7 linked regions of the Daphnia pulex genome follow. The protein of the gene in region 4 interacts with the protein of the main gene of each other region in a pairwise test. Links are inferred from orthologs where the notes say so. Each region holds a gene or a part of one and is shown on either strand. Other genes may lie near its edges. The genes, in order: dnaJ-like protein 60; nucleoporin p58/p45-like; palmitoyltransferase ZDHHC17-like; huntingtin-like; intraflagellar transport protein 20 homolog; 33 kDa inner dynein arm light chain, axonemal-like; protein tumorous imaginal discs, mitochondrial-like.

The links.
Region 1: the proteins of huntingtin-like (region 4) and dnaJ-like protein 60 interact in binary tests that used the Homo sapiens proteins (3 or more experiments, as listed by UniProt). The link is inferred for Daphnia pulex from reciprocal best matches to the Homo sapiens genes HTT and DNAJC4.
Region 2: the proteins of huntingtin-like (region 4) and nucleoporin p58/p45-like interact in binary tests that used the Homo sapiens proteins (3 or more experiments, as listed by UniProt). The link is inferred for Daphnia pulex from reciprocal best matches to the Homo sapiens genes HTT and NUP58.
Region 3: the proteins of huntingtin-like (region 4) and palmitoyltransferase ZDHHC17-like interact in binary tests that used the Homo sapiens proteins (3 or more experiments, as listed by UniProt). The link is inferred for Daphnia pulex from reciprocal best matches to the Homo sapiens genes HTT and ZDHHC17.
Region 5: the proteins of huntingtin-like (region 4) and intraflagellar transport protein 20 homolog interact in binary tests that used the Homo sapiens proteins (3 or more experiments, as listed by UniProt). The link is inferred for Daphnia pulex from reciprocal best matches to the Homo sapiens genes HTT and IFT20.
Region 6: the proteins of huntingtin-like (region 4) and 33 kDa inner dynein arm light chain, axonemal-like interact in binary tests that used the Homo sapiens proteins (3 or more experiments, as listed by UniProt). The link is inferred for Daphnia pulex from reciprocal best matches to the Homo sapiens genes HTT and DNALI1.
Region 7: the proteins of huntingtin-like (region 4) and protein tumorous imaginal discs, mitochondrial-like interact in binary tests that used the Homo sapiens proteins (3 or more experiments, as listed by UniProt). The link is inferred for Daphnia pulex from reciprocal best matches to the Homo sapiens genes HTT and DNAJA3.

Annotation. Positions count from the first base shown.
Region 1 is NC_060020.1:3,246,667-3,250,448, reverse strand, and holds dnaJ-like protein 60, read left to right. Parts: upstream 1-1,512; 5' UTR 1,513-1,792; coding exon 1,793-1,818; intron 1,819-1,890; coding exon 1,891-1,984; intron 1,985-2,043; coding exon 2,044-2,234; intron 2,235-2,316; coding exon 2,317-2,490; intron 2,491-2,552; coding exon 2,553-2,674; intron 2,675-2,828; coding exon 2,829-3,049; downstream 3,050-3,782. Other genes in the region: eIF-2-alpha kinase GCN2-like, read left to right, coding at 1-261, 329-438, 498-756, 824-993, 1,054-1,180.
Region 2 is NC_060024.1:3,688,356-3,693,015, forward strand, and holds nucleoporin p58/p45-like, read right to left. Parts: upstream 3,172-4,660; 5' UTR 3,057-3,171; coding exon 2,989-3,056; intron 2,920-2,988; coding exon 2,645-2,919; intron 2,308-2,644; coding exon 2,176-2,307; intron 2,114-2,175; coding exon 2,026-2,113; intron 1,960-2,025; coding exon 1,785-1,959; intron 1,721-1,784; coding exon 1,590-1,720; intron 1,534-1,589; coding exon 1,466-1,533; intron 1,409-1,465; coding exon 1,181-1,408; intron 1,089-1,180; coding exon 921-1,088; intron 733-920; coding exon of another isoform or gene 719-732; coding exon 624-718; 3' UTR 530-623; downstream 1-529. UniProt on the Homo sapiens protein: Component of the nuclear pore complex, a complex required for the trafficking across the nuclear membrane.
Region 3 is NC_060024.1:10,255,652-10,260,099, forward strand, and holds palmitoyltransferase ZDHHC17-like, read right to left. Parts: upstream 2,891-4,448; 5' UTR 2,719-2,890; coding exon 2,611-2,718; intron 2,548-2,610; coding exon 2,476-2,547; intron 2,410-2,475; coding exon 2,282-2,409; intron 2,224-2,281; coding exon 2,014-2,223; intron 1,953-2,013; coding exon 1,793-1,952; intron 1,723-1,792; coding exon 1,564-1,722; intron 1,506-1,563; coding exon 1,299-1,505; intron 1,233-1,298; coding exon 1,071-1,232; intron 1,006-1,070; coding exon 846-1,005; intron 782-845; coding exon 668-781; intron 609-667; coding exon 505-608; intron 437-504; coding exon 134-436; 3' UTR 41-133; downstream 1-40. Other genes in the region: aladin-like, read left to right, coding at 3,499-3,597, 3,668-3,807, 3,883-4,027, 4,103-4,311, 4,388-4,448. UniProt on the Homo sapiens protein: Palmitoyltransferase that catalyzes the addition of palmitate onto various protein substrates and is involved in a variety of cellular processes.
Region 4 is NC_060020.1:1,043,596-1,047,611, reverse strand, and holds part of huntingtin-like, read right to left. Parts: coding exon 4,003-4,016; intron 3,938-4,002; coding exon 3,742-3,937; intron 3,679-3,741; coding exon 3,281-3,678; intron 3,217-3,280; coding exon 3,031-3,216; intron 2,954-3,030; coding exon 2,772-2,953; intron 2,714-2,771; coding exon 2,587-2,713; intron 2,525-2,586; coding exon 2,364-2,524; intron 2,297-2,363; coding exon 2,148-2,296; intron 2,085-2,147; coding exon 1,951-2,084; intron 1,840-1,950; coding exon 1,576-1,839; intron 1,494-1,575; coding exon 1,312-1,493; intron 1,249-1,311; coding exon 1,085-1,248; intron 1,023-1,084; coding exon 784-1,022; intron 716-783; coding exon 545-715; intron 479-544; coding exon 249-478; intron 187-248; coding exon 82-186; intron 27-81; coding exon 1-26.
Region 5 is NC_060023.1:11,437,645-11,440,681, reverse strand, and holds intraflagellar transport protein 20 homolog, read right to left. Parts: upstream 1,779-3,037; coding exon 1,631-1,778; exon of another isoform or gene 1,610-1,630; intron 1,535-1,609; coding exon 1,380-1,534; intron 1,313-1,379; coding exon 1,196-1,312; 3' UTR 912-1,195; downstream 1-911. Other genes in the region: calumenin-B-like, read right to left, coding at 1-222, 285-412, 488-577; plasminogen receptor (KT)-like, read right to left, coding at 2,098-2,243, 2,305-2,501, 2,578-2,621, 2,703-2,783. UniProt on the Homo sapiens protein: Part of intraflagellar transport (IFT) particles involved in ciliary process assembly. May play a role in the trafficking of ciliary membrane proteins from the Golgi complex to the cilium.
Region 6 is NC_060021.1:10,925,363-10,929,274, reverse strand, and holds 33 kDa inner dynein arm light chain, axonemal-like, read right to left. Parts: upstream 2,093-3,912; 5' UTR 1,902-2,092; coding exon 1,809-1,901; intron 1,723-1,808; coding exon 1,501-1,722; intron 1,384-1,500; coding exon 1,251-1,383; intron 1,153-1,250; coding exon 809-1,152; intron 726-808; coding exon 690-725; 3' UTR 621-689; downstream 1-620. Other genes in the region: DNA-dependent metalloprotease dvc-1-like, read left to right, coding at 1-573; synaptotagmin-4-like, read right to left, coding at 2,739-2,876, 2,940-3,133, 3,219-3,342, 3,505-3,649, 3,798-3,844. UniProt on the Homo sapiens protein: Involved in sperm flagellum assembly.
Region 7 is NC_060024.1:9,132,694-9,137,323, reverse strand, and holds protein tumorous imaginal discs, mitochondrial-like, read right to left. Parts: upstream 3,003-4,630; 5' UTR 2,955-3,002; coding exon 2,837-2,954; intron 2,761-2,836; coding exon 2,558-2,760; intron 2,502-2,557; coding exon 2,256-2,501; intron 2,176-2,255; coding exon 1,875-2,175; intron 1,799-1,874; coding exon 1,391-1,798; intron 1,247-1,390; coding exon 1,119-1,246; 3' UTR 1,084-1,118; intron 894-1,083; coding exon of another isoform or gene 778-893; 3' UTR 667-777; downstream 1-666. UniProt on the Homo sapiens protein: Modulates apoptotic signal transduction or effector structures within the mitochondrial matrix. Affect cytochrome C release from the mitochondria and caspase 3 activation, but not caspase 8 activation.

The sequences.
Region 1 (3,782 bases), about 2.2 Mb from region 4:
GTCAGATCTTTTCAGAATGCACTTGTCAATCGGAAAAAATTAGATGGTGAGCCAATGAGTCAACCCACAGTAGTTGGTGGCTTGATCCATTTAGACAGAGTTGCAGCCATCCTGAAAGAAACTGAGGTTGTTGAAGAACGAGTACTCGTCTACGTTGCTATCTGTACCGTAGGATATCGTCCTCAGACCAAGGAACAAGCCTCATTAGTTAAGGATTTGTGGAACAATGGGGTTCGCGCCACAGTGTTAGATCATTGTCAGGTACTTATTATATTTTTCTTCCCAACTGTGTGTTTTCTTGTGCTAATTTTCTATAATTGCTTTACAGAGTCTTGATGAAGCTCAAATTTGGTGCAGAGAAAAAAATGTGCCGCACATAGTAATTCTAAAGGATTCCGAGGTTGGTTCTGCGAGGTTAAAAACATGGGAAAAAGATCGGTTAGTACTCATTGTGAATAGTTGGTAAGATGGGCCAGAATTAAAATTTTTTTCAACAGATATACTGAAAGGAAAATGATGCTGGGTGAACTGATTGACGTTTTAAAGTGTAGTGCCGAATCTGCAAACGACACGACTGAATCTTTGGTTTCACACACTCGCCAAGATTCTATGAACAGAAGTAATAGTTTAAGTGAAACTTGCGGCAATCAAACGGCCACTAGTTTACAAGGTATCGCGGGTAATCCAATTGTGAACTTTCACATCGTAATCGAAGAAAAACTTCCTGTTCATGCCAGAAAGCGTTATGAAAAACAGGTAATTTTGTTTCCTTTGTTCAAATTCCATTTAAATCTTATAACAAAGTATCTTATTCTTATTACAGATTCTAAAGCATATTCAAACAACGCTGCAAAATTTTCATTCGCGAGTTCAAGTCGATATCGTTGCAATAGAAGCTACCGCGGTTGTCGTTCAATCGTTATTGATTGCCCTTTATGTTGATCCTAGCGACGCAAAGGCAGTAGAGCAAGCGATTGGAGTTGTCGTTGATAAGTAATCCAAAACATATTCATCATATATATTTATCCAAACTAATTTTTTTAATTTTTTTAGACACCGGAGACAACGCAAATACTTGCAGAGAATATACGAGCAACTTCTTCAACTCAAATTTGAAAAACATGTTACTGTTCTGATGATCTATGGACTACACGATAATTCCAGTAGAATTTGTATGTAATGGCTAGATTGCTAATGTAAAATTGGGGTGAATGTGTTATTTTATATTTTCTTATTTTAAGAGTGAAATCAAATCAAAGTGTTGTAATTTGCTGCTAGGCTGGGGTCAACAACCCTGACGTTTCTGAAACTGTTTACAAAATGGAAAATAAAATCCGTTTATGAGGTGTTTTTCTGTTTGTTGTTTATATTATTTGTGCATTTCTAAGAAACATGTAATTTAAAAAACTACCAATTGAACTTCAAAAATGCTAATTTCTTATAACTTACTGAAACACCACTAGATTGCAGTGCGCAAGTATTATGTAACTTAGTAATAGCAGAAGTGATTTTTAAAAACAAGTGAAGTTGTAATTCTGATGAGGTGGTTTATCCACTTCTCGTTCACGGTTGTTTAGCTTTTAATTTTAAGCTAGTTTTTTTTATTGTTTGTAGACTGAAGAATTTCAGGGAAGGGATTAAAGGGTTTGACAACAATCCAAAATTGTCGAGCCTAAAATTAGCTAGTCTTTTAATTAGGCGGCAAGCTACTTCGTCGTGTGCCCATGTCAGATTTATCGACAATTTTTTAGGTCGACGAACTTGAGGTTATTATTGTCATTAGGCGAAAATAATGGCAGGTACAAAGAAATCATTGGAGTAAGTCCCTGTACAGTTACTCCATTTAGTTTTAAAGTTATAGATATTTAATGACTCAATATGTCTTTATAGCCCACTGTTACAAACCCATTACGAAATTTTGGGACTTAAACAAAACTGCTCTTCTAAACAAATCAGAGATGCATTTGTTTCAATTTCAAAAAAAGTAAATGCATTTTTATTTATTTAAAAAGAATTTGATGATGTTTTACAACACATAAATAGGTGCACCCAGATGTTAACAAAAGTGACCCAGATTGCCACAAGTCTTTTCTTAAGCTAAATGAAGCTTATTCTGTCTTGTCAAAGCCATACAAAAGGCAATTGTATGATGCTAGTCTGATGAGTAGAAAATATGCAGCTGTGGATAATTATTCCAGTTGGGTAGAAACTAATGCACCATTTGGAAAAGTCAAGTATGTTTTGTGAGCCATTTTTTAATAAATTATTACTATTTTGTTATCCAACTAATTTTCCAGTATTTCTATTATGTTTTAGTGAATGGAGAGATGAAACTCTTTGGTCAGCAAGAGACAAAACCAAGGACAAATATTATAAAGACAAACCTTATTATGGGATTAAAGGAATGCAGAGAATATCTAACAAATACATTGCTGCTGGCTGTGTTGTGTTTATGTTAGTTGGAGCGGCCTTCCATTTTGTAATTGTTAAGTGAGTGTCTCTATTTTTTAAGACATGTACTTTTACTTGAATCTGTATTTATTATATAACAGGAAATCATCTGCCAGAGCCTTGGAGGTTCTTAACCAAGTCGATAAAGAAAGCACCAACTGGTATCTGGAAACTAGAAGGAAGGCTTTGGCAAGTTCTACCAGTGAGCAAATAGAACGCTTAAGTAAGGAATGGGAAACGAATGATAAATCAAATAAGTAGCTGCGTATCTTTTGTATGTACATACAGAATTTTAGTGTTAAAAAGATTGCACATGGACGAAAGAGTCTTCTTTCCAAAAAAATTTACGCCCAATTCAGATGCCTTCATTTGAATAGGTGCTATTCGCGCTTATTGTATATTAACTCGTGGTTACTACTTTGTAAGCTGTGCTTGTTTGAGGACAGCAAAACTTTTCTTTGCGACATTAAATCAGGAGTTCCGGCGTGCGCGTGCCTTACTAAGTATGGTCAGAGTTAATAAATCGTTACTTCCGCAAGCGATACTGAGATTGTTGAATTACATAGCATTGTTACCACATATTGTTTTAGAGTTTTGAAGGTGACGGTTCCAACTCCCTGATAGCTCTGATTACAACCTCAAGGAGTCCACAGTCCACACTCTCATTCGGTCGTGTGCAATAATGGTTGGCAAATTTGGGATTCCTCGAGACCATTTCCGTGTTGCATTTTATCAAGTAAGTGAAATTTTCTCATGTTAATTTTGACGTTTCTTTACGTAAAAGAATAGGTATGTTTTTCTAAGAAAAAAAGGCTAATTTCAATTTAAAAACTAGTTTTAAACTGGTCTTCAATATCTTGAATTGAAGTTGAAAAATTGCCAAGCCTCTTGAATTTGCTAAAAGGAGAATATTTGCTTCAGGTGTTAAGTTGATGTAATGCATTTTCAGGGTTGATAACTAGTTATTAAGTTTTTTTTATCAAACATTTAGTTGCGTCTTGCAAAAAAACAAAATTTCATTAAAATGGTTTCTATTTTTGTCAACCCTCTCCATTGTGGACTAACTTCCGTGATAGAGAATTTCTATTGAAAAATTGCAAGGTCTTTTGATTAGCGTGTGCTTTCCATAAAGAGTAAAGAGAAAATGGTGTGTATAGCCGAAAAGGAACAATCGTTTCTGGAAACAAAACGGACCGCGCGATACTTGATATAGTCATCGGTGTGCATTAGAATAAGTGCGATCCCTTAAGGCTTTCATCGTTTTTATAGCGAAATCCTTTATAAACAAAACCTGAGCTAAAAGGCTCTCGTCATTGCTTATTTCGCCCATT
Region 2 (4,660 bases), on a different chromosome or scaffold from region 4:
TGGAACGGAAATCAATATCTCTCTGCCGCAACTGCTGCTGGGCGCGCTACATAGTCGTCGTGTTGGGACTATCGACGTCATGCACCACTAGTTCCTTTTTCCCCAGGTATATCTCTCTCCACTGTCATATAAAGGACATACCTTCTGGGCAACAGTTGACGGAGTACAAAGCAAATCACTACCCTACGACGCATTTTACGTAAAAGGTTCTTTTTATTTTCTTTTATACGAGAGGAATGTACGTACGCACTGCTTTATTGATTCATTTTTCTACAACTACGTTTTCAACGATATATATATCGTCTACAACAAAAAAACTTTTGGTTTTTTTGCCCGGGAAATATAAGAAAAACAAAACTTTCTTATATGCGGAACCTGGCACTTGCTCCGCTCGGCAACCCAAAACTTTTTGGATAATCTTGTAGTGAAAACACAAACCGGCCTTCTTTTCTTATTCCCGGAATTATTTTATCGGGCAACTTTGAGAGGGGGGAAACAAAAAATAAAACACTCGAGAAAGTAAAAGAAGTAAGGGAAAGATGGGAATTATCGTTTATTCAAAAACGGATGTTTACAGTAAGAATCTTGAGGAGAGAGAGAGAACAGAGTTTTTAAGAGTAAATTTAGCGCTTGTTCCTTTTATTGCCGGGAGGAGGGCTTTGCAGCTGGAAACTCGAGTTGGCTGACTGCAGCGACTGCGCAGAGCTACCGAAAAAACCTAAAAGAAACCGACAACACAAACGAAAAGAAAACAAAAATAAGGAAAAACAAAATCAAAAATAACGAAATCAAAGAGGAAAAGAAAAAAAACATTCCAAACATTTTGCTAAGGGGGAAATATTATACAGTATGTGAAACCATCAAAAGTAAGGTGGTTTATTGAAAAATGGTCCACTCTTTGGTCAAAGATGTTGTAGTACCTGCCGGGCGGCTTGGTGTCCCGAACGATAGACTACCTGGATTACTACTACTAGCTAATGAGGAGCCAAAGCTGAGACCACCACTAGTGCCACCACTTAAACCTGCACCAGAACCTTGAACAGCGTTGGTAAGGTGGCTTAATGTCCGAGAAAGCGGATCCGAGGTACCTATGATATGATGACGCATCACCAACAAGAATTTACAGTGCGTGAACTACTAATCTGAAAGCTCAAAGTTTGTTTTTGTTCGGACTCTTTACCTCCAAATGGGGACGGCCCACTGCCGATCTTGTTCAATTGGCTCACCAGCACCGATTTCGAAGGGGCGTGGCTCTTTGAGGCGAAAATATCAGTGGGGTCGTTCAGAACCCGTCGTCGGTACGTCAAATAATCGTCTTTGTAGTTTTGAAGCGAAGTGTGAATCATGTGGACACGTCCAGCCAACAAAACAAATGCCTCGTGCAACTTTTTCATAGTCCCCATCAGTTCTAAGATATGAATAATTTAAATTTCATCAGTCTGAAGACATTGGGATGGAAAATTACCTTGAGGAGTCAATGCATGCTGTTTGGTCATGGCCAGCAGATTCCTCTCCGTGTCTTCGATTTGTTGCCTAGACGGAGAATAATTTTAGTGAATGCTTAGGCACAAATGAGAATACGAAAGTACTTGTAAAACTGCATTCGCTGCTCGAAATCAGTCACTAAACGCATAAAGTATTCAAGAGGCGCCGTATTGTCGAGCTGCATACTGGGTGCTGTTTCTTTTGTACGCTGGGCGATTTCAGCATTTTTAATTTCCTGAAACAAGTTGAAAGAAATTAAAATCTTGCTTTGCTTTCAAATGAGACGTGATGCGTCTTACAAGTGCTACATCATGCTTCAATTTGTGGACCAATGCGGAATGCTGCTGGATGTTATTGGCCAGGTTGGAGAGGATATTCTTCAAAGTTTCAACCTCCTCGCCCACTTTTTCTGGGGCCTTGTTACTGCCTCGACTAACTTCGTCCTTTTTGGCTTTCTGTTCCTTCACATGTTTTCTACAGATTGAATACACTGTCAGTGATTGTGAGAACTATATAAATACCCTGGCCGTCTTTACTTACTTGAATTCTTCAACAGATTGAGAGATTTCGGCAGGTACAGGCATTTCATTAAAAGCTTTTGAATCAGATTTTCCTTGTGAGTTGGATGCTAGATTTCAAAGGATGAAAATCAGTTTTGTACAGATGAATATTTGAAATATATAAGCCTACCAGAAAGATCACCTCCAAATGTAGTTGAATTGATACCCCCAAGACCAAGAGAGGGGGCTGTTGTTGTGGTAGATATCACATTAGTTGTGAGCCCAGTAAAAGGAGCACTTGAAGCTGCACCCAATCCAAATCCTATAAAAGCAATCAGTTGAAAGTTACTTCAAATGGAAACAAATTTTAAACTATTGCAGCGACCCCACTGTTCTATGGCAACACCAAACAAAAACTAATTGATCAAAATCTTGCAAAATTCAACCAATCAGCTGCTTTCCATTAATTTTAGGTTTTCACAGTCTTTCATTCATCAAAATAATTGTTTGGTTTTTAAGGTGGTCATTTTCCAAAAAAACATGAAAATTAAGCCATCAATATTTTTTAAAACTCTAGAATGTAAATCTTTGTTTTCCTGTTATTATGGGGAATAATGCTGCTTTTTAAAAACTAAATATTCTAGTTCCTTGTAAGTTACCAGTTGAGCTTGGTGCACCGAATCCAAAAGGAGCTCCAGTCATTGACTTTGTGGCAGTTCCTGTATTCAGGGGAGCACTGGAGAAGCTGAAAGCCGGTGCCTGTGATGTGGATCCAAAGCCAAAACCGCCTGTTGAAGATGCATTACTAGTACCCATTTGAAAACCTCCAGTTTGCTGTGGAGCTGTAGTGGTTCCAAATGAAAAAGGAGCAGCACTACTTGTTAAAGTTGCAGGGCCAGAACCAAAGGAGAATGAAGAATTTGTAGGTGCTGGACTAAAACACCAAAAAGCATGTTACTCACAGACAAGAGTATAAGTGCAGTCTAAATAATTGAATATTTACTTTCCGAACGACGGCGTTCCAAAGGCTGACGGTTGAGAGGGCTGATTGGAAGTTAAATTAAAAGACATTGTGATATTCTATTCTTTCGAAATTTTATACAACATTTAAATTGTGAATAAACCGGCACCCGAACAAACTCGTCCGTTTCTCGTCCCGTTGCTAAGTTTACCGATTGTCATCTGTTTTTTTCCCTCATGCGGCAGTGCCGGATTTACAAATTCGTTTCACATCAAATCTGGCAATCGAAATCGGATTTTTACTTGCCACGCCTACATTTTTCAAATTTTTTCAAACTTACCTCAAACTTGAAAATTAGTTTGAATTTATTCATTAAATCTGTTTGCATACACAGTTAAAAATTTGTAGGCTTGCTTGATGAAGTCCCACTCCTGAACAAAATAGAATTGAATAAATCTCTTTACATTCCCCATTTCCCCTTAATATAATCCAATAATAACTTTACAAAAACTCTGTCAATCATCAGCAGCTAATCATGTATTTTGTTGTCACGTTATTGCATTTTGCGCATTTCGAATGATCGGCACTCATAAGGACGCGACAATTTCCTCCTCCAACATGAAACCAGTAAAATGGGTGTAGTGGTTACTGCTGTCAAGCAATTTCACGCCCACTGACAAGAAATAAATCTGCACCCAGACCCGATCGCCTTTTTTCAAGTTCTGCGTCGACTGGAGGGTTAATGGACTTGATTGACCAGCGGCGGTGTTTGCCTCTTCAACGTAACCTAACCCGATTCGAACCCCGTTCAAATAAAGACCAACTCCGAAATAGACAACAGATGATGAGTATGGAAAATTCGCCAGTCCCGTGAATGAAAAGAAATAAATTCCGGGTCGCGGAGCAGTGAATATTCCCGATGTCAAATCCATGGCATTTCCCTCGTTCGTCCGAGCGAAATCGAACGAATCGGAGTTGATTCTGTGGAATATGACTTGATTCTCTGGGCGTAGAAATGAACAGTCGCTGATTTGACGTCGGCATATCCGATCCATTTTTGAAAATCTGGGCAAATAAAATAATTAATGGGCAAATAACAATAACTCGGAAATATGAACACGTCGTAGTACCATTTCCATTAGGATAAAATTTACAGTAAACCATTTCCATCTTTTTCAATCCTTTCACCAAAAAGAATCCGCTCAGTTTATGTCCCGTTCTCAGCAGATCCGCACAGGAGGTAGGCATTTGGCCAATGTCAACTATTTCACTTGGTTGGGCTGTTGAAAGAAAATTCAAATTATTTTATTCTCAACTTGAACGGTGGCTTTAAACTTAATTCCTTTGTGCCACTAAACCAATTCAATACATTGTAAAATTGTAAAATTAGTTTTCACATACAAAATGGCACCACAAGGTTTCTTCTGCTCTCGCAGTTAAAATAAATTGAGATAAAAAACACGGTTTTTGTTTCATAAAATAACAAATTCGTAGCATTCTTTATAATTTTAGAAATTTATTTGACCGAATTTTAAAATTAATTACCATTTGATTTTCTTGTCAAATCCGCAATAGCAGACTTTGTACTGTTCAATTGCGTTCTCGTTGCTGAGGCCAAGTTTGTCGTTGCAGTTTCCAAATCACTTAAAGTTTCTGAACGGTAGCATTTGAAAATATGAAAATAATTAAAATATGAAAAATGAAATTTAATCGC
Region 3 (4,448 bases), on a different chromosome or scaffold from region 4:
TAGCGGTGGTAACTGAATATCAAATAACCCCTCCAAGACATTACTTTTGGACGTGACTTTATTATTGTATAATGTACAAAAAAAACACACACAATGGTATAATGTAAACCGACACGCACGTAAAACTAATTGTTCAAACATTATTCACATTATTTTTGGGGATAAGTTCTTCTTCGTCGTCATTCAACCATCTGTCCATATTAAATTCTGTTTTCCAATCCACGTCTCGCGGACGCAGGTAAGGTGATCCGCTGCTGCTACTTCCTCCTCCGATTCGTATGTGGAAAAACTCTGCAGCATTGTGTAAAATTCCTCGGTCGAATGGACTTGCATATTTTGTTTTTTTGAGCCAAGAAGACTTTTTAGGAGTGCGATGGAAGTGTTTGTATCTGGAAGCATTAAGTCTTTCGTTTGTTGTCATACCTAGGATTACCACCTGTAAATAAAGATAAAAACAAATTCGAATTGGTAAATCAAATTCGTAGGAATTTACGAAACACATACCTGATATAACTGGCAACTCAATAGAGCTGTAACCCATATTGCATGCAAACCCGCGTTAGCGGCTATAAAAGTCACCCAGCCATCACAATACAAGACCCCTAGTCCTATAGAGGAAAAGTCTTTTAAAAATCTCATTTTATAATCAGGCTACTCAAATACAAACCTGCATGCGCGTTGCATTCTTTATTCCAAAAATTAACGACACCAAAAATGAATATCACGCATGACACGGAAAGTAGAAAGAGATAGTAAATAAAGTAGCGATGGTTGTTGAGACCTAAAAGAAATAAAAGTTATATACACTCGTATGGTTGTAAATTTTTTGGGGCTGATCTACTTGCCTATACAGTTGCCAACCCAAGGGCAGTGATGATCAAAGCGCGCTACGCATCTATTGCAGTTGGAGCAATGCTTGGAACGGATAGGTCGCCTCAACAAACAGCAGCTACAAAAATGTTGCGGTTCAAAACCAGGACCGAACTCTGCCAACTGCTTTATGGTCTATTGTGAGGGGGATTGAGATCAAATTAATTTCTTTGATTGCGATGAGACCTAATGAAACTCACTTGGTACTTCTCGTCTAATGAAAGAGAAATTGTGCCAGGGTCATTGTTCCACGTCTTGTAAAAGGCATAGCACAATCCAGTCGCGGATAAAGTGAAAGCCACATTCGTCACCCAATTTACGCTGGAAGCCAGCCATACAAACCAAGTGACTAGCACCCACCACTGCAGCAGAGAAGAAAATAAAAATTAATATTTTTGGACAGAATATTTCTATGATCTACTAAATACCTTTGTCGCTAAGTAAATCGATACTGGTAAAGATTCCATCGTTGTATCAGACGTAAAGGAACATAGTCGACCAAACAGGTTTATACATACAATGGTCAGAAGTAACATCGCTGCTTTTAGATAATAATTCAGAGAGCTTTGAAAAAGAGTACCCAATATGAAAAATAGAACAAACGGACTCGCAACAAGAAACCAATGCTGTAATTTCTGTAAAGAATAAATCGGAATAAAATAGGGAAGACTATTAGGAATCGTGATGTAATACCTTGTAATTTCGCGCATTTTTTATCCGTGCCATGCATGACAGTTGGTCAACACGCGCCTCTTTATCGGACTGAGCCACGCGATCCAGTATCCTGTGTAACAGACGAGGTCCCAACCAAGGAGGTTTGTCTTGGACTAGCAATTTGAAGCAACTTGTACCCTGGAAAAAATCGTCAATAATCAATCGTGCCGGAATACAATTTTGCAAGTTTATAGAGATTGTTATTTACTTTTTCATTTTGAACATCCAGAGAAGCATTTCTTTCCAATAAAAGCGATATAGCCGAGACGTTTCGAGACTCTATTGCCCAGTGGAGAGCTGTGTTGCCATGATTATCCTGAGAAATCACGCTTGCACCTAGGGAGGCGAGTAAACGAGTAGGATCCACACTGCAGACAGAATCATGTCAGACTTGGATTTTAACTAGGAGCCACATCATTAATTGAATACGTTGTAGTCCTGAAGGCAGCCCACATTAGGGGTGTCATTCCTTGCATATCTGCACTATTGACAGGAACTCCATGAGCCAGTAAGTAAGCACACACAGCAGTGTGTCCAAACTGAGCTGCCAAATGAAGTGACTGGAATCCTTCTCCATCATAAACCATTGGATCAGCACCATGTTTTATTAATAAAATTACTGTAGCCAGGTGGCCCTGTCTGTAGAATGAATGTCAAACAGTATTATTCATTCTGATCAATAAATAACACAAGGTACCTGACAGCCCAATGTAGAGGAGTGGCAAGTAATTTACCACCAACTGCGTCAACTTGAGCCCCATGATTTATATACAAGTTAACAAGTTCCTTTCTATTATTGATGGAGGCCCAGTGGAGTAGAGTAACCTTTACATGTAAATTGTGCATTCAGTTGAAAATGTGACTTACTAAAAATATTGTATGGTTTCTTACATTTTCATCATCTCTTTGGTTCACATCATATCCTTGATCTATGAGTTCTTTACATCGGTCAAATATTCCATACTGAGACAATATAAAATGTTATTCTTTACAAAACAAACAAAAAAAAAGAGATAAGATACTAACTTGAGTCGCTTTGACTATGTCCCATGTTTTATATTGCTGGTCAGTACCGGTGTTTATATTGCTCTGCATGTCATTGGAACGATCTTCACTGGGAGACTGGAGTGACATTTTCGGGACAGTAAGGGTATTTCCCGATACTTTTAATTAAACTTTCTTAATATTAAGTCTATTCTTTAAAAAAGCATTTTTTTTTTCACCACAACCCAGCCACAACCGCAGCACCAAAAAGCAAGACAAATATCGATTGTACTCTGGTTGCCTATGGTTACGTCGCTTGCGCTGCTCGATATGCTTAAAGTGCGCAGAGCGGGATGCGGGATAGCCTTTCGGTGGAATGCGGAAAACAACATCTCGCAGAATCTCATTTAAGTCATCTTTACTTATGTCTAGTTGTCTACTCCCTCATTTGCATTGCTTTCCTTTACTTTAAAATTAGTTTTGTCATACTCGCCAATTTTTTGTTTCCGTCCCTTAACTGTCTCGTCAGTCGTCACGTCGTGTTTCGCATATTTCAGATTTTAGTTTTTAGCGAATCTTGTGTGAAACTGGACATTAGGTGTCAAATAAATTTTTTAATGTGCCTCCAAAATAATTTAAAAAGTTTCTGATAAATATTAGATAAACATTTAATAAAATAAAAAGTATTTTGAATCCAACAATAAAGATTGCGCGGTTGCGCCGCATGCGCGCATGGGTCGCGGGTTGTATACCGCATACCACTCCCCGCAATTTAGGCATACGCGGCGCTGCTGTAGAATACTGTATTGGAATTCTTATCTGACAGACGTGAGACGTGAAGTCGTGAACGGTGGCTCTCACGTTTGAATTTGTTGGATTGCCGGTAACTGCAGTTCAGAAAACGTGTTTCGAAAATTCTTCTCCCTATCAATGATGTCTTCTCAGTTAATTGGAATGGAATCTTTTCGGGAGTTCAAATCATTTGCCACTGAAGATTTTGTTCATACGGATATATCTAAAACGCACGAGGTAATTTTAAACATGGAATGTTTGCATTACTTAGTATTGGTCAAGGTTAACTGTTGTAATATTTAAATAGGAAAGTCAACTACCAAAAGTTAATATAAATGTCCCAGTTTTGCCTCCCACGAAATTTCCCAGAAATGAAGCTGCTCTTGCATTTATCCCAATAAAGGATAATGAAAAAATCTCTGTTTGGAAACAATTTCTGTTTATACGGTAAACAGCCTTTTTTTTATCTTTTTCAAATAAAAAATAAATTCATGAATATACATGATATATGTTTGCTTACAGGAGAACACAGGGTATTTACCAAGCATTTGAGTTATTGTCACAAATGGATTTGAATAAGTGTTCAGCAAACAAAATGACATGTGGAGTATTAAGTCTTTGGAAAACTTTAAAAGCAATTCAGAGTGTTATAGTGCCCAATTCCAGTGTATGTATACATTGGAATAACAATTCTTTAAGCTAACCACTTACACTGAAACCTTATAACTGGTTTATCTTTCAGGTGTTGTCTAGTGTTAATACTATAGCTACATTTTCACATACCAAAGACTGGTCTACTAGCCCTGTAAGATTTCTTGCCTGGCATCCCCATTGTAACAAGCTCGCAGTTGCTACTAGAGATGATACTGTACTCGTGTATACCGGTTCTACGTCTACTCCAGTTGTCGTCCGTCATTCATCACAGAAAGACATTTCATCTTTAGCTTGGAGGTATTTTTTATTCTATATTTTACATAAATTGTGTATGATGGTTTACTTCACTCGTCACACATTATATTCTTACTAGACCCCTGTGTTCGGCTCAGTTAGCCGTTGGTTGCGCTTTGGGAGTGGCTCTTTGGACGGTC
Region 4 (4,016 bases):
CTCTCCACATTAAAGGTTCTAACTCCCTAAATTATGAAGACGATTTAGCAAGATAAAACCAGAAAATAATTTTTAAACCACCTTTTCAACGCAAAATCCAGCACAAACGCCTTGTCGATATCTCGCAACATGCTAGACCTATTTTCAAAGGTAGCGCTTGGAACTGCTGTGATCTCGGAATACCATCTAAAAAAGAAAATTGAAGATGTCATAAAACGTAGGATAGTAGGTGGGCGAGTGCCAAGAACCTTTGATTAGCTGACTGAAGAACGATTTTTTGTACATTTTCCAAACAACGAAGCTTAGATTCAGAAGAAGTGAAATTTGCGTTTAGAACAAGTTTGCACATTCTTCTGTGCACAATGCCACTGGAAATTGTCTGAAAACTGGAAATGATATGTAAAAGAATCGCTTCCGAATTCGCAACAAGCTCGACATTCTCTATTATATTCAAAAGAGCCATGGCCGAGGATATCTGCTAATTTGTGAGAAAAACAAAATTTATAAATAGTCACTTAATCCGCTGATCAGTATGATATTTTACCAATAAATCTTGGCCTTTCGCCAGCACACACTTCACAAGTGGTTGAACGTATTTCTCATCATTATGAATAAGGCTTCCAAAAAACTTCTTCACAGGTGTTTCATTGAAGTGATTTAAGATTTGGTCTGCATACAAGCTAACGAACTTCAAGATTTTTTTTTCTTCTTTAGGCTAAAAGTAGATAATAGTCATCTGAGTCGGAAGATAATTTACAATTTAAGAAAGTTTTTCGAGCGTACCACCACACCGGAGAGCAATAGAAAAAGTCCTTCTTGCGCAATACTTCCGTTAAGTCCACCAAAAGAAGCAATATTTTCGGATTGGATGTGATAATTTTCCGACAATAACAAAGCGCAAATCCGCACAAAAACTATCGGATTATTGGGAATCAATTCCCTTGCTACTTGAAATAGAGGAGACTTACACTCGTCACGCGCCAATTCTGCAAGAATGGCGGTCTGCAGCACTGGGAAATCATCTATTAAACAAAATATTAGCTTTTTAAAAATTTTGAAACAGTAGATAACATGATTTACTAACTTGAGTTTAATAAGCGACGACACAAGGCAATCAAGTCCAGTACTAAATGGACGGAAAATGAGAAACCATCAATTCTCCACGATATGGAGGTAGAGCCACAATTATCAACAACCACTTTACTTTTCCAATGACTTAGAGCTAACTTAATAGTGTCAACCAGCAAACTGAGAGAGGAAAAAAAAAATTTAATATGAATTCGTTTGAAGTTGATAACTTTGTTGGATTACCATGACAAGATGTGTTCAGGCGGTGAATTCTCAGTAGGCGTTACATTTAACGGGTCACTTCTCTGATTGACCAAATAACTTAGGTTAAATTCATTTAAACAGTCCAACAAGAAAGCTTCATCAAAAACAGCAATCAAGGTTTTGAAAACCGTTAAACGGCAGGCCAATACACGATGGTAGTTCTGCAATAAAAAAATTAAAATGAGAAGAAAACAAAACCATTTTACTCATAATGTGCAACAGGTGTATCTTAGCGTATGCTACCATAGCTGCTGAAGTATTGAAATCCTCCGATTGCTTAGGGGTAAATGTCTGCAAAAGCCCTAGTAGAGACTCATGCACAACAGGTGGATCCATATGAGAAATCAGCTTTTGAAGCATTTGGAGGGCTTCGTCTGAATCCAAAAATAGCGAATGCCTATTGAGTTGCGGGATGAGTGCATCACAAATTTGCTTCGAGAGGGATTTCCATTTGTTCGCATTTTCAAACTGCACTTGAAGTAATACAGCAGTTATCAAAGGGTAAACCTGCAAATATGATTACAATTATGAAATTTTTTTTATAGGTAAACTTACTGATTTGCACAAAGACTAGTAAATTAAGAAAAAAAAAAGAATTAACTTGCAGTAACTACATACCTTGTGATACTGAATTAACCGAATGAGTAAATTTATAAGGACTTCTTTCTGAGTTTCAAGTTCCTTAAAGTTATCACTCATTCTTTCTCTTGAAAGAAACAAATCTTCGACCATTGGTTGCAATGTGGGAAGCACTAGAAATTTAAAAATTAAAGTTATGCGTACAGCAAAATCAGTAAAACACGCAAAGGGATTACCGTGCAGTTCAGCATCCTTTCCAGTAGCCATTAATCCACCAGCAAGCTGCATAATGCGTGGGACAGAAATAATAGTTTTTGAATGGAAGCGATCATACGATAATAGTGACAAAAATCGAAACATGGAGGGCAACAGAGTTTCGACTTGCCTGATAAAAGATTAAAATGAAAATGGTCAAATCAATACCAATAAAAAAAAGATCAACTAGCACTTACGGTATGAAACCTTCTTCTAGAAACTCAAACTGTTGGATGACAAAATTGAGAAAAACCTGGTCGGCATCGAGAAGGCAGTAGTTGACGCAAAGATGGATCAATTCGCAAAGAAGATCCAAAACTTGCTTTTGAACTAGTGGACAGCTTGTGACGGTGTACAACTTTGATGAAAAACTTATGTTATTAGTAGAAATACGGACACACGCGAATGGCTAAAACTCACCTTCAAGGCCTTGATGACCATCGGCTCAAATAAGCGAATATAAGAAGTCAAGGCAGTTTTATCAGGGCCAATTTTGTTTATAGAAGTTCGAAATTTGGTTATCAGATTTGGCCTTTCATTGTTTCGGCTAAAAAATGAATTTAAATAGAAAACGAGAAGAAATAAAATGTTTTAACAAAACTTACTTGAAATTCATTTGACGTCCAGCACTGTTATACAATAATTCATCTAATCCACAACTCGAGTAAATGCTCTCGTCACATTTCACTGTTGGTTGCAAACTTGAAGAAATTGCGCTTCTTTTAAATCGGGCTGCTTCGTCAAACCAGACAGCTGCTAAATTGGCTCCAAAAAGCGCTTTAAGTAACTGAAGATTGATTCACAAAAGAATTTTGAAATCAATATTCTATTAGGGTTATTTTTTAACAAAGAAAAAAATACAACCTGTTGAACGTTGCGCAAACAGTAGACTGGTTCAGCTGTAATAATGATGCGTAAATAATTGAGAATCTCCTCGCTGTGTTTTCCAATATCTTGGAAAATGGAAACTTCAATTAGAGCGGCTAGCAATTCCAAAGTAGATTGGATAAAATTCGACAAGCGTTCCGAGGTAATCGTATCAAAATTCAGCTATAGTTGTGAAAATAAATATTTACTATACAAAAAAAAAATGTACAGCCCCAATAATACATACTTTGCAAGTGGCGTGCGTACTCTTCAGTAAATCGTAAAGTTTCACGTAGAGAGGTTGAGCAGCAAAAAACCCGACATTACTTGGATTAAGCAAATGTGGTTTGTTCTTACGGCCGGACTCATCTGACTTATCTTCTTTATCTGAGATTAAACTTTCAGTGCTTCGAAGTTTGCGACGTATTGGACTTAACGCGGACGGGTTTGGAAGCGTCACCAATGGTACTTTAATTGAAACCAGTAATGGATTGACATCATCAAGAACACAGCAGAATGCATTTAATATACGGGTAGCATGACCCAATAGGCAAGACGCCGTAGCAGACGAAGGGCCCTTTAGAAAACGCCAATCTTTAAAATCTTTCTCTAATTGGGGTTCGTTTAAACCTGCTTTCACACATCCTATTCCAAGAAATATTGAATGTAGAAGAAATTAATGAGAAAGAAATTAAATGAGAAAAAAACCTGCAAAGAGCTGAGTGGCAAGTGTGATTAGGGTCTGGTGTGTTACTAGATCCAACATCAACGTAGAGTTTGTCAGGAGTGCCATGCATACTTTCAAGAGACTGCAATTTCCTTTTGAGCTACAGCCGTAAACTTCCAAGTACGTAGCGGGAGGATAAGAACAGCTCAAGGTAGACAAACTTTGCAGGCAGCCCATCTGAAATCGAACAACAACAATTTTATTTTCAAATTTTGTGCATTATTAGTAAATAATTGTAATACCTTGACAAACTTTG
Region 5 (3,037 bases), on a different chromosome or scaffold from region 4:
TTATTCTCCAGCTCTGAGGGTTCCATATCATCCATGAAACCGTAGACCATCTTTTTGTACTCTTCCCATGTGATAGAGTCCTTGTTATTAGGATTGTGTGCTTTCCACTGACGGTCAACATCCTCCAATATGTAACGTCTTTGAGTGTACTGAATCCATGATTTCAGCTCCTCTTTGGTGATCTTGCCATCCATGTCACGGTCTATTTTGTCCACAATTTTCCTGCACAATAGCAAAATGTTTCATGGAGTAAGAACATGTTTGAGATTTCACACTGCACTTACCCTAAACGCTCCTTGCTTTCTTCAGGAGACAGTTGATCAAAGGTTTTAGCCTCATCTCCTAGAAAAGCTTCATGGTCATAGTCAGCATTATGCTCTTCATTTTCATAATGTTTGTGACTACTCAGCGGCTGTCATTAAAGAAAGTATCGGCGTTAAGGAACACACTTAGAAAAGTTAACAACAAAATTACTATTTTTAAATACCTCATCTTTAACTCTTGAAGTCTTGTTTGGTTTTGGAATAGCTGTTACAAGACTTATTGTCAAGCACACAACAACAAAAGAGAACCGCATTTTACAAACGATCTGCTTTGCCAAACGAGTTAACGCCTGGAACAATCCAGAAAAGATGGTAGATATCACCGAAATCTCTCTTAGAACGCTTGGAACGACAGCGACCCTTCTTATATTACGTGTAGCAGACGAAAATGTCCAACGTCAAATGTTAAACGTCACCAATAGGGTTCGGCAACTTCATAAAGAACTGAAAGCGGTTATTATTGCGTGTTCCCGCTGCCCCGCTCTATTTTATCGCTTATCTCGATTTAAACTCTCTGGTATTTGAAAGACAAACAAGAAAGCTGATAGTGGAAGGAAAGACTGGGAAATAAACGTTGGAAAAGGTCCCTTGATGTTGCAAATAAAGTGTGTATTTCAAATAAAAGGACGATTTCTCTGGCCCTCGAGTAAGTTCAATCATAAAGAAACAGAATAAAGCGTTCTGGCTTATGGGGATGACAGGGGTGGAGTGGTTTTGTGCTTTTGTGAAGTAATTCTAAAAAAGTTGCTTGACCCAGCAATTTATGTTACAGTTTTGGGACAAAGTAGATGCACAAAATTCTTTAGCCTGAAGGCACCATCAATCAGAAAATAATGTATAAATTAAAATAAGAAATATAGCCGATATGCACATTAATGAAGCATTTGAAACTGATCGAGAATTTCTTGATGGAAATGATCCGCTTTTTGAAGCATCTCAATCTCGACGCGAAGTTGCTCCAGTTTTAAGCGTTTACGATCAACTTCTGCCTATTATTAAATACTTAGTCTTTAGAGATAAGAATATTTTCAAAATACAGACAGACTGCTCACATACCATCATTTGACGCTGATCTTGTTCCTTTTTCTTACGCAATGAATCCAGTAACAGCCGGTAACCGATAGCCCGTTTTTTCTCTATTTCAACAGCCGCTGCTGTTCTGCTGGCCTCCTTTTTAAATGTGTCGACCGTCTTATCGAAATTGTTCGTTGCTTAAACAAAAACATATGAATTAATGATTAAACTATTTAAAAGAAATGGAAAAAATGTTATCAATTCTTCTGTAGAAATGGATTGACTGCACTTACTCTGGAGGAATTGATCGCATTCGGTCTTGAGAATTTTTGTCTGATCGGCCAAGGAAGGATCAAGGATACGAAGTCTGTGGATGTCATCGATGAATAATCCTTGTTCAACCAGTTCGTCCTCCGCCATGAACACATTATTCACATCCATGATTGACTGTGCTGGTCTTCTCGAGAAAATGACTTGTTTGTTTACTTTTAGTTGCTATGACGACTGAAAATGGAATTCAAAGGGGGTATTTTTTCTAATAGATTGAATGCTAAAATGACTATTATTTGAAAAGAAATGCAGATTTTTCTGATAAAAAGTTTCCAATTCCAGTATTTCAAAAGAAAGAAATAATGAATACATGTTTGTAATAGCTTTAAAGAATAGACAAATAAACTGAAGTAGTTTAACCAAATTAGTACAAGAACAAGGGATGCTCTATAAAAAGTTAAAAATGAACTACTTTCTCAGAATTCAAGGCTTAATAATACAAAGGGGGTTCAGCTGAATGCATTATAAGTTTATCATGCTGCACTTGTCTTGCCATGTCTATGGTTGACAAGGTTGGTAAGTGCATGGGCAAATCTAGTAGTTCACTCTCAAACTTAACAATGTTTTCTGCTTCATCTGAAAATAAATAACTTGTTTTAGAACTTTCAAATAGTGCCAATAATAAGGTTTTACTTACGTTTAATTCTCATAAGCTTGTTTCCATAAGCCATATCAATTTGATAGCCAAGGATAAAAGTTAAGGGTAGTAGTGGCACAAGCACACCAGGTTTACGAGAGTGATGAAAACCTGTCAGCATGCCTGCAGCAGCTACAGTGTAAAATGCCCCAAACCAATTCAGTAATTCCCTGGTCCGAGCTATCTGCAACGCCACCCTAAACAAAAGCCATCAACCAGACCTTAAACAAAATAAATAGAACCACTAAGAATACACATTCTACCAAGACTTACATTCTTTCTCTCATCTGATTCTGCAATTGGATCTGCCTCTCAATCTTGGGAACAGAATTTAGATTTTATTAAATTTATACTTTCTAAGTTTGTATTTTGGACTTTTACGAAAAAAGACAACTTACTGTTATACGATTTATTTCTATCATGAACTCTTGATTACTCTTCATGTTTTCATGCACTGCTTTCGAAACGTAGCCCCCCATTTCGCAAATTATTTCAATTTTATCAAATACAATTTAAATCTACAACGTAATTTGATGACTAGTATTCGTAACCCTTTGTTTACATTGAGTCATTGACAACATATGCCTTCTAGCGGTGGCGCCTACAAACTATTATTTTAAAATCTATTTTGACGTTATTCAATTTTACCTGTGTACAAACTACAAACAAGCCTAGGTATTAAGAAATCAAATAAAAAACTTATTATTTAAACGAAATTTCAATCGAATGCATG
Region 6 (3,912 bases), on a different chromosome or scaffold from region 4:
GGACCATCTAAGAAAGCAGTAACTGCTACTGGGAATCTATCTACTTCTCAACCTAAACTGCCAACCAATAATCCCGTGAAAGGGAAAGCTTGGACAGGATTTTCGGGCAAGAACGTTAGTCCTCCCAAAGGGAAAGCTATATCCGGATATTTTACTACTTCCACCACTTCGGGCAAAGGAAAAACTGTCACCGGCTTTGCAGGATCGGTGAAGAACAAAGGGAGTTCGACAATAACGGTTACATCACCATCTTCTGGATCAACAGAAACAAGTGAACCAAATGATGCAAGACCGACTCAAGGAGGCATTGTGTCCAAGCCTCCATCTATGACGTTATTTATCCCTTTTACTGGACAAGGCCGACTCTTGGGTGGTGGCCCACCAAAAGTCAACACTCCTTGGGCCAATCCTTCAACATCATCCATCAAAAAGGAAACTCCAAAGGTCGTTGAAATAGTTTCTTTGGACGCGGATGACGGCCCCAAAGATGAGAAAAAAGTGCCCTGTCCAATTTGCCAGTCGCTTATCGACCTCAGTCAGATCAACACACATTTGGATTCCTGTTTGTCTTGAATTGAACAACTCTGTCAGTATTCGTCTTCATATTTCTATCGAAATTCTGTGATGCTCAAAAGTGTATTTAACAAAGAAAAACTCAAATGTTTTAATATTACAAAGATGGTCCCGTTTTATTTATTGCCAGTCAATACTCCCTCCAAAAGTTCCTGGTTAGATTTTAAAGAAATAACGAGTTAACCTAATTATTTCATCTTATTTCTTCCAACAATAGGTCTTCATTAAGATTTACCTTGAGCTGTTTGTTGGATTGCTGTAAGGATTCCACCTCTTGTGCGTGCTGCTCTTTCAGAGACTCCATGTCCTCTTGAGCTCTTTTTGCATTCCGTTCCAGCTCGACCTTCAGCTCCGTCTTTTGACATTCGAGATTCTGCTCAACGTGCTTTAACTGCTCAATCTGGTCCTCCATTTCTCCCCGTCCTATCTCGGCCTGCAGGGCTTTCCGTACGCCGAACGCCAAGCTGCTCTCGTACAGAGTCTGATATGAAAGCAGCGTCAAATTGAGTTCGTCGCGGACTCGAGCTAAGAGGAAGCCTCTCTCGGAACAGCTGACGGTCACTTGTCGGATCAGTTCATCTGAAACCCAGTAATTTCGTCTCTTTAATACCAACATCGTCTATTTATTTTATTATTTATTTTATCGATCGTAGAAAAATAAGTTGCCATGCGAGTACCAAAGCACTGCGAGTAGAGCTCCCTCCTGATTGGACAGATTCCAATTTCTCGAGCTTGTCTCTGCTTGAGTCTGGAATCCAACTGCTCCTGCAAAGCGAGGACGTCCAATCTCGTCGCCGGCGTAGACGAGACCTTATCACAAACAGAAAGACCGACGATGCAAGAATACAAACATAACTAAAATGCGCTTTGACTCTTTCCCGGAATGAAGACTATATTGAATTTGATTTTTCATATTCGTATGTGTACCAACTGCCGCCATATCTGGTCGTCTTCGGTCCATTCCTTGGGAGGCAGAATTGCGTTGATTGCATCTTGGGCTTCACGTCGAATTGCGTCACGACTTTTGTTTCCCCCAGGAGGAGAGGGTGGATCTGGGACAGGACCGGGAGTGGTTGCTATGATGGATCGACTTGTATTCCCGCCGGTTAGCCCAGTGGAGGCTGGTTGCAATTGCGGCAACTCGTCTACCTGTAAACGAAAGTTACTCAACCGAATTAAAACAATGGCCAACGAAACAAAGGATTCCTTATATGACACAGTACAAAGTTCCTTACTCTTCTCTTGTTGCCGTCACTCGGCTCACGCACCAGAACGGGATTGTCATATTTCAACAGCGAAAACGAAGTGCCCGCCAAACGTTCTGACATTTTCGCTTCACTTGGCAGTTTCCCTTTGGACGTCGTTTCAGATTAAAGCAGCGACTGTGAAACGTGACAGCTTCTACTTCACGGCGCTTTGATGCAAGTTTTATGAGGTGTTTATAAAAGAATTCGATATGGATCAAACATCCAAGCCGACGACTGCGCAATCGCAGCTCCCATTTCTTATTTACTTGTGTAAAGTGGATGAAATATTTGGTTGGGTTACTTCTTTTATAGAAGTAGAAAGCAAGCAGCTGCATTGCCCAATAAACTGATGTGTATTGATTTCTTCATTGTCGCGTTTTACATCATTTCGTCATCACATGAAAATTTTTGTCAACAATTTCTGTTTTCGGAACCAGACCAAAAAAGGGGGAAACAAAGGAGCCGATGAAAACGTTTTCTTCTTCGTAGCAGCACAGCAGGAAAGATGCCGTTATCCTTGTATTTATAGAAATAATTCCTCGTCATTTCGTCCAGGCAACGAAAATAAATAATGTGGCCGCCGGTTCTTCCGATTGATATAGTTTAGTGGATGGAAAAGTGTGTATAGCTTTTTGTAGCGAATTGAATTGTGATAAAGAGGCGTGTGGACAGCAAGGAGGAAATAACATTTCGGGGTGGATTGTTCACGTATAAAAAGCTTTCCAGTCTACAGCGAGCAGCAATAGAATCCGTGACACAATAGCAAACATAGATCGAATCGTGTTAGAAGTAAATATGTATATATTTAAATAGATAATAACGTTCGAGGGGAGGAAATAATATGTTCCAATGGGAGGGAAAAAGGTTGGAGTTGACGCGATGGTTTCACCTTTTGATGGGTGATCAATGCGGCCGGATTCAATCCTTCAGTTTGTGCCATTCGGCGATTTGACGACGTGGAGAATTCAAGACCTCGTTCCAGTGATGCAAGGCCGTTCCGATCGTCTTGGCTCCGCCCAATTCCAAACGTCCAATCACCTGTTTTAAATCCAAAGGCTCAAGATTACGTTCGAAATATTATTCCGACTCCACTCTAATAAGGCACTCGTCAAAAATTACCTCATTTTTGGTGACGCGGTCCCAGTCGAGGACGAGAAATTCGAGACTGATATTGTCCAGTGAAGTGGCGCTGGCCGGCAAGTCGAAAACAAACGACTCGTTAAAAACGGGATTCAGCGTGCGCTTCTTGACGTGCGTCTTCTTCTTGGCCACTCGTTGTCCATTGTGCACAAGATAAATCTTGACGTAAGGATCTTGAGTAAATACAAATAATAATAATCATAAGACTCTGATGACAAGAAGATTAGGTAACGGAAAAAATGAGGGAGGGCAACGTACCAGCAAGGCCGGTCATGTCCATGCGGGGAATGTTACGAGCTTTCAGGACGACGGCTGTTAGTCGAGAAGCTTGCGGTTGATAACAAAGCGACACCAGAAGCTCGCCTCTTCCGTGAGTCCTCATCTATTTTGATGGTTTTCAAAAAAAAAAGGAAAAGGTCTATAACTTTAACGAAAGCAGCTGGATCATTTGCGTGTCTCCCTAACAACCACACGCCCCTCTGCGACTTGGGCATGTCGTGGGTTTTTCATTTTTCTCTCCCGTTTCCAACACGATGGGGCTCACCTTATGACTGCGTGGCGCAATATCTCGGAATAGTAGAGCGCTAGAGTGGTTTCCGTTGTCTGCAGTATTGTTGGAATCGACTGAATCTGTCATTTCCTCCAGAGCTTCGTTAACTGGCAGCAACACTTCGCCAATGACGTCATCTCTTAGAAACCAGGGATGATGATTATGCTCGTATAACATATAACACCATATTATGTGATGTCTAACAATGTCTAACTATTATGTTAATGCCTAGCCGATTTATTTAGAATGGGAAGCGGAATTTCCCCGGGACGGGGGGGCGGAATTACCTCGAGTATCGATCGAAACACAGAACGACGAAATGGAGCGTCAAGCTCTGAAAATAGAGAGAGAAAGAGAAAAATACCGGTAATGACGGTCGTATAACAAGTCCACTTCCCGCGT
Region 7 (4,630 bases), on a different chromosome or scaffold from region 4:
TATTTGTAGTTATTGAATCGATAACAAAAAAAGCAGTGTTTAAACTCGCTAAAAATAAAAAAAGCAATTTAAAACAAAAAAATTTAAAACAAAAAAATAAAAATAAATATAGCTACTGGACCACCTTTCTTAAAATGCTACATTTGAAAATTATTTTGATGTATTACTTTTATTAGCTCTTCAAGCTAAAACCGAATATAATTCCAATTTAGTTTAGATTTCATTTTTATACGGTACGATGTATTATCTCAGATGTCGTGTCATGACGGTCTAAATTTTTCTATTACCACGACATCTTTCGCAGCGATAAACAAGGTTTAGTCCATTGTCACGACAATCTATTGGTCCTTTTGTCGTGAAAACAATTAGTTTAGATCTATTACCAAACCAATTTCGTGTCAGTTAGAGCTCCCACCCCAATCAATCGGTCTTAATAACCACAATTTGAGTAAAATTATTTTAACAAATTTCGCAATCGAATTACAGCTAAGTAAAGTCCATTCCTTGAGTTCTTGCTTTGATGAAGGAATCCAATTATTTGAATTATAATACAAGCGTCATTTGAAATTTGCTGGAAATTGAAGCATTCGGAGTTGAAAAAAAACAAAAGTCAATGATCAAGGAAAATGAAAAATAATTTTTATCACCAAATGAATTGAGTGAAGATGTGGTAACTCGACATGGTTTATTTTATACAAATGCGTTAACAACTGACTACATTTATTTACCTTCCTTAAAATAAAGGAAACTGGCGAGAGAAATTGTTGGATATTAAACTTATAATTTCTGTCGTTGGGCTTTATCCTCCTTTGTCTCTTTTAAATTGGAATCGTCATCTTGAGAAGAGTTAGTCGAACCTTTTTTGCTAGAGCCATCACTCGCCTTTTTCGCACCTTTGAAATAAAAAAATTCAAAATTACAATTACAATAAAAATAATCAATAAATTCTAACGCGCATCCGTAACGAAGCATAAATCAAAGCTAGCTAGACTTAAAGTCAGAGATCAATAACTGGTAGTTAAGATGCAGCTTGAGAGGAAACACCCAGGGTTTGTCATGTCAATACATTTTACTATTACTTACGTACTCTATGGTAGTAGTCGCGACTTTTCCTATCTTTATCCAAAAATGGCCTTTTTAAGGCGGCCAAAAAGACCATCTTCTTTTCCCTGGGTGTCCTCCTTGCTAGCTGATTGGGATTCCGAGCCAGCCATCGGCGCTTCTTTGATCCCATCCATTCGTTTACCTAACAATAACGCACACTATACGAAAAACTAATACTTCGACCCTAGTGCAATATGTAGAAAATGCTATTCCCATTTAATAGTCCTTATTTATCTTGTCTCGTATACAGTAATCTTAAAATTATGTATTAATTGTGTTTATTTACCATCTTTGGTGTAGGTGATTCCGTTTACAGTTCCTGGGGTATCTTCTTCAAGTTCAGCGTAAGCCAAAATCAGTTTTTTTTGCTTTTCATTAAGCCGGACCGGGATTTTGATTTTTATATGAATGTAGTGGTCACCAAATCCGTAACCATTAACTTTACGTAATCCTTTTCCATTCATACGAATACGTGTATGTGACTGCGTTCCTTTAGGGATATCAACTGTTAGCTCTTCATATATTCCTTGAACGCGGATGGCTCCTCCTAGGACGGCTTGCGAGAATGTAATAGCAGCGTCAGTGTGTATGTCGGCACCATCGCGACGAAAATAATCGGATTTTTCTACCCGAAAAGTGATAAAAACTTCTTTTTGGCCCACTTGCATTCTTACTGTTTGACCATCCTCAACACCTGGATAATATGCGATACATCAGCTTAATTTTCTTCGGTGAAATGTTTTAAGTAAAAAAAAGATTCCAAATTTTACCTGCCGGAACGGGGACAGTTACTTTTTTTCGCTGAACTGTTGAACCTTTTCCTTCACATTCCAAACAAGGATTTGCTATGTGCATTCTTGAACCCATGCATCTTCTGCAAGTCGATCTCATGATGAACGGACCAGTGCTAATTGTTTCCATCCCTGTTCCATTGCAAAATGGACATTTTACTGCTTTTGTTCCAGGTTCACTTCTTGAACCACGGCATTTTGGACATGTATCAACCACATTCAAGTTTATATCTTTGTTGATTCCTTTGGCAGCTTGAGCGAATGTCAAATTCATGGTCATCTGTAAGTTAAGAACAACAAGTTATATTTACTTCTTGAAAATAGCTATCAGAAAATACTATCAGAAAAGTAATATTTTACCTCTTGAGCAGCACCAAACCCAAACCTTGATTCAGCAAATTCTTCACCAAAATTTCCTCCTTGAAAGCCAGCTTGTCCGAAAATCTTTCGGAACAGTTCTTCAGGATCAACACTAGACTGAAAATTCCAATTTTGATGTCTTGAAAAGTCCTGTGAAGCACCTGGTCCAGCCTGTCCACCTCCCATTTGCTCTGAAGTAGCTCCCCATGTATCAAATTGTTTTCTCTTCCCATCATCGCTCAAAACCTATGATGTAACTCTTCAATTTAAGATCAAAGTAAACAATAATTTAAAATATATACCTCATAGGCTTCAGAAACTTCTTGAAATTTTTTTATAGTTTCTGGATCATTTTTATTGGTATCAGGATGAAACTTTTTAGCTAGTTGGTAATATGCTTTCTTAACATCTTTTAAAGAAGCATTTCGAGGAACACCTAGAACATCGTAATAATCCCTTTTTTTTGCGAACGTGATGTTTGATGTATGGAAATTTCTTCTGCTTGCTAAGTAAAGAAATTTGAAAATTTAGTATGATTAACATTTAAAGATTCATAATTTTATGCTAGTGTAGAAAGTTACTTGGAATTTCAGATTGAAGTGCAGCATGACTCGTTATGGGCAATAAAAACCTCTGTTTTATAATTAATCCAAACAAACTTCGGGAAGTGCAGGCCATTTTCTGTAACCGGGGCCACATGGGGACGTACAAGGTACAAATCGTTGGTTTCGACTCGACTGTTTAAGTGAGGCAGTGATCCCTAGATGTCATCACTTGATTTCGTTTTAAAAATACTTAAGCCATGCCCGGGCCAATCATCATTCATCCATGGCGTCACGATCGCCACAATATTAGCTAAAAATTCAAAAAAAAAAACAAAAAAAAAAAAAGGGAAGTCTGCTAACGTGAAGAACCCTTGAAATATCTTTTTGTTACAAATTTACAATAACGAAATCATCTACGCAGCGATATTGGAAGGTTTTCTTTTGATCCTAGATATCAGTTTAAAGTTATGAATATAAAAGAATTCGAGAAGGTGCAGGTGCATACAAGATTTTAATATATATTAAATTTTATTTCCCCCATTACAAAGTGAATACGAAATGAACTCTCGGTATTACGGAACGCCAAATTGAAAAAGAAAAATGTACCGCTCGTCGCACCGCCAGTGTGGCTGTGTGGCGAATAGCAGAAAATTCTGTTCCATCCGGAATGTCTTCCGCCTTAGGAATTGATCGTACAGAAGCTGATCATATTTCTTTTCGATGATCGAGTCAACCTTTTTGAAAATAGATGTATAAAGAAAGAAATGGTGTCTCCGGATAATCGTAATCCATCTTGATTAACGACGCTGATAAGCTTTTGGTCCTGAAACTTAACAAAACAAAAAAAAACAGGAAAAAGTGTACGAGAAACCAAAACACTGAACCTAGTGCAAACAATATCTAGACTGACAGCAATAGCAAAATTCGCAAAAATAAAATAAAAATTAATCTACAAACATTGACAACGAGCTCCTGAACAATGTAAGGTTTAAAAAAACCTCACTTCTTCCAAGTCACCTTCCTGGCTTTACCCGACCAACCTGAAAATGACGGAATTAACGAACAAACTACCCTTTATTATATTCAACGTTCAGAAATTCGTAGGATTTAGGGTAAAGGCGGACGAATCAATTCACAAGGTTCTAGAAAGAAATACGGTGTTGACAAAAAATAGTGATGCTGGAAGCATTAGTCATCTCTGGAGAGAATTACAATTAGGCAGTTCGCCAAAGACTGTTGAAGCGAGTATGGATGGTATAGAATTATTGTTCGAGAAAACGATGACTTACTTTACTTTATTATTACTTCTTATCTCAACAGTCAATAAATGATGGCATCTACGGATTTTCCTCCTTACACCAACTTGCTTTAAAATAACATTACTGTATCATATATCCAGCAGCATAAAGACGATGTATCCTGGCTTTGAATTGTTAGATGTGTACTTATCATAATAAATAATATAATTTATTGACACCATGTACCAAAAAGACAACCGAAAAAAATAACAGCACCTATACTATTGTTAGACTTGAATAGTTTCGCACAATTTTCGCCGTCTTTGATATTCAAAGTCGCTACCTGAAAGGAAAAAAAAATTGTATATATATATTTATAATTTATATATATTATCTTCATCAAAGTATTATAAATTAAATATATTTTATTACTTGGCGAATCAAATGAGCACTGGATGCTAATACAGCCACATAAAACGGCCATGACTGTTCTGCGGAAATTCCGGCAACGGTAAATCCAGTTACCGTCATTAAACTAAATCCCGTGAGCCATTTAGAAGTGGCTTCGCCGAATCTCAGAGCTGTCGATTTA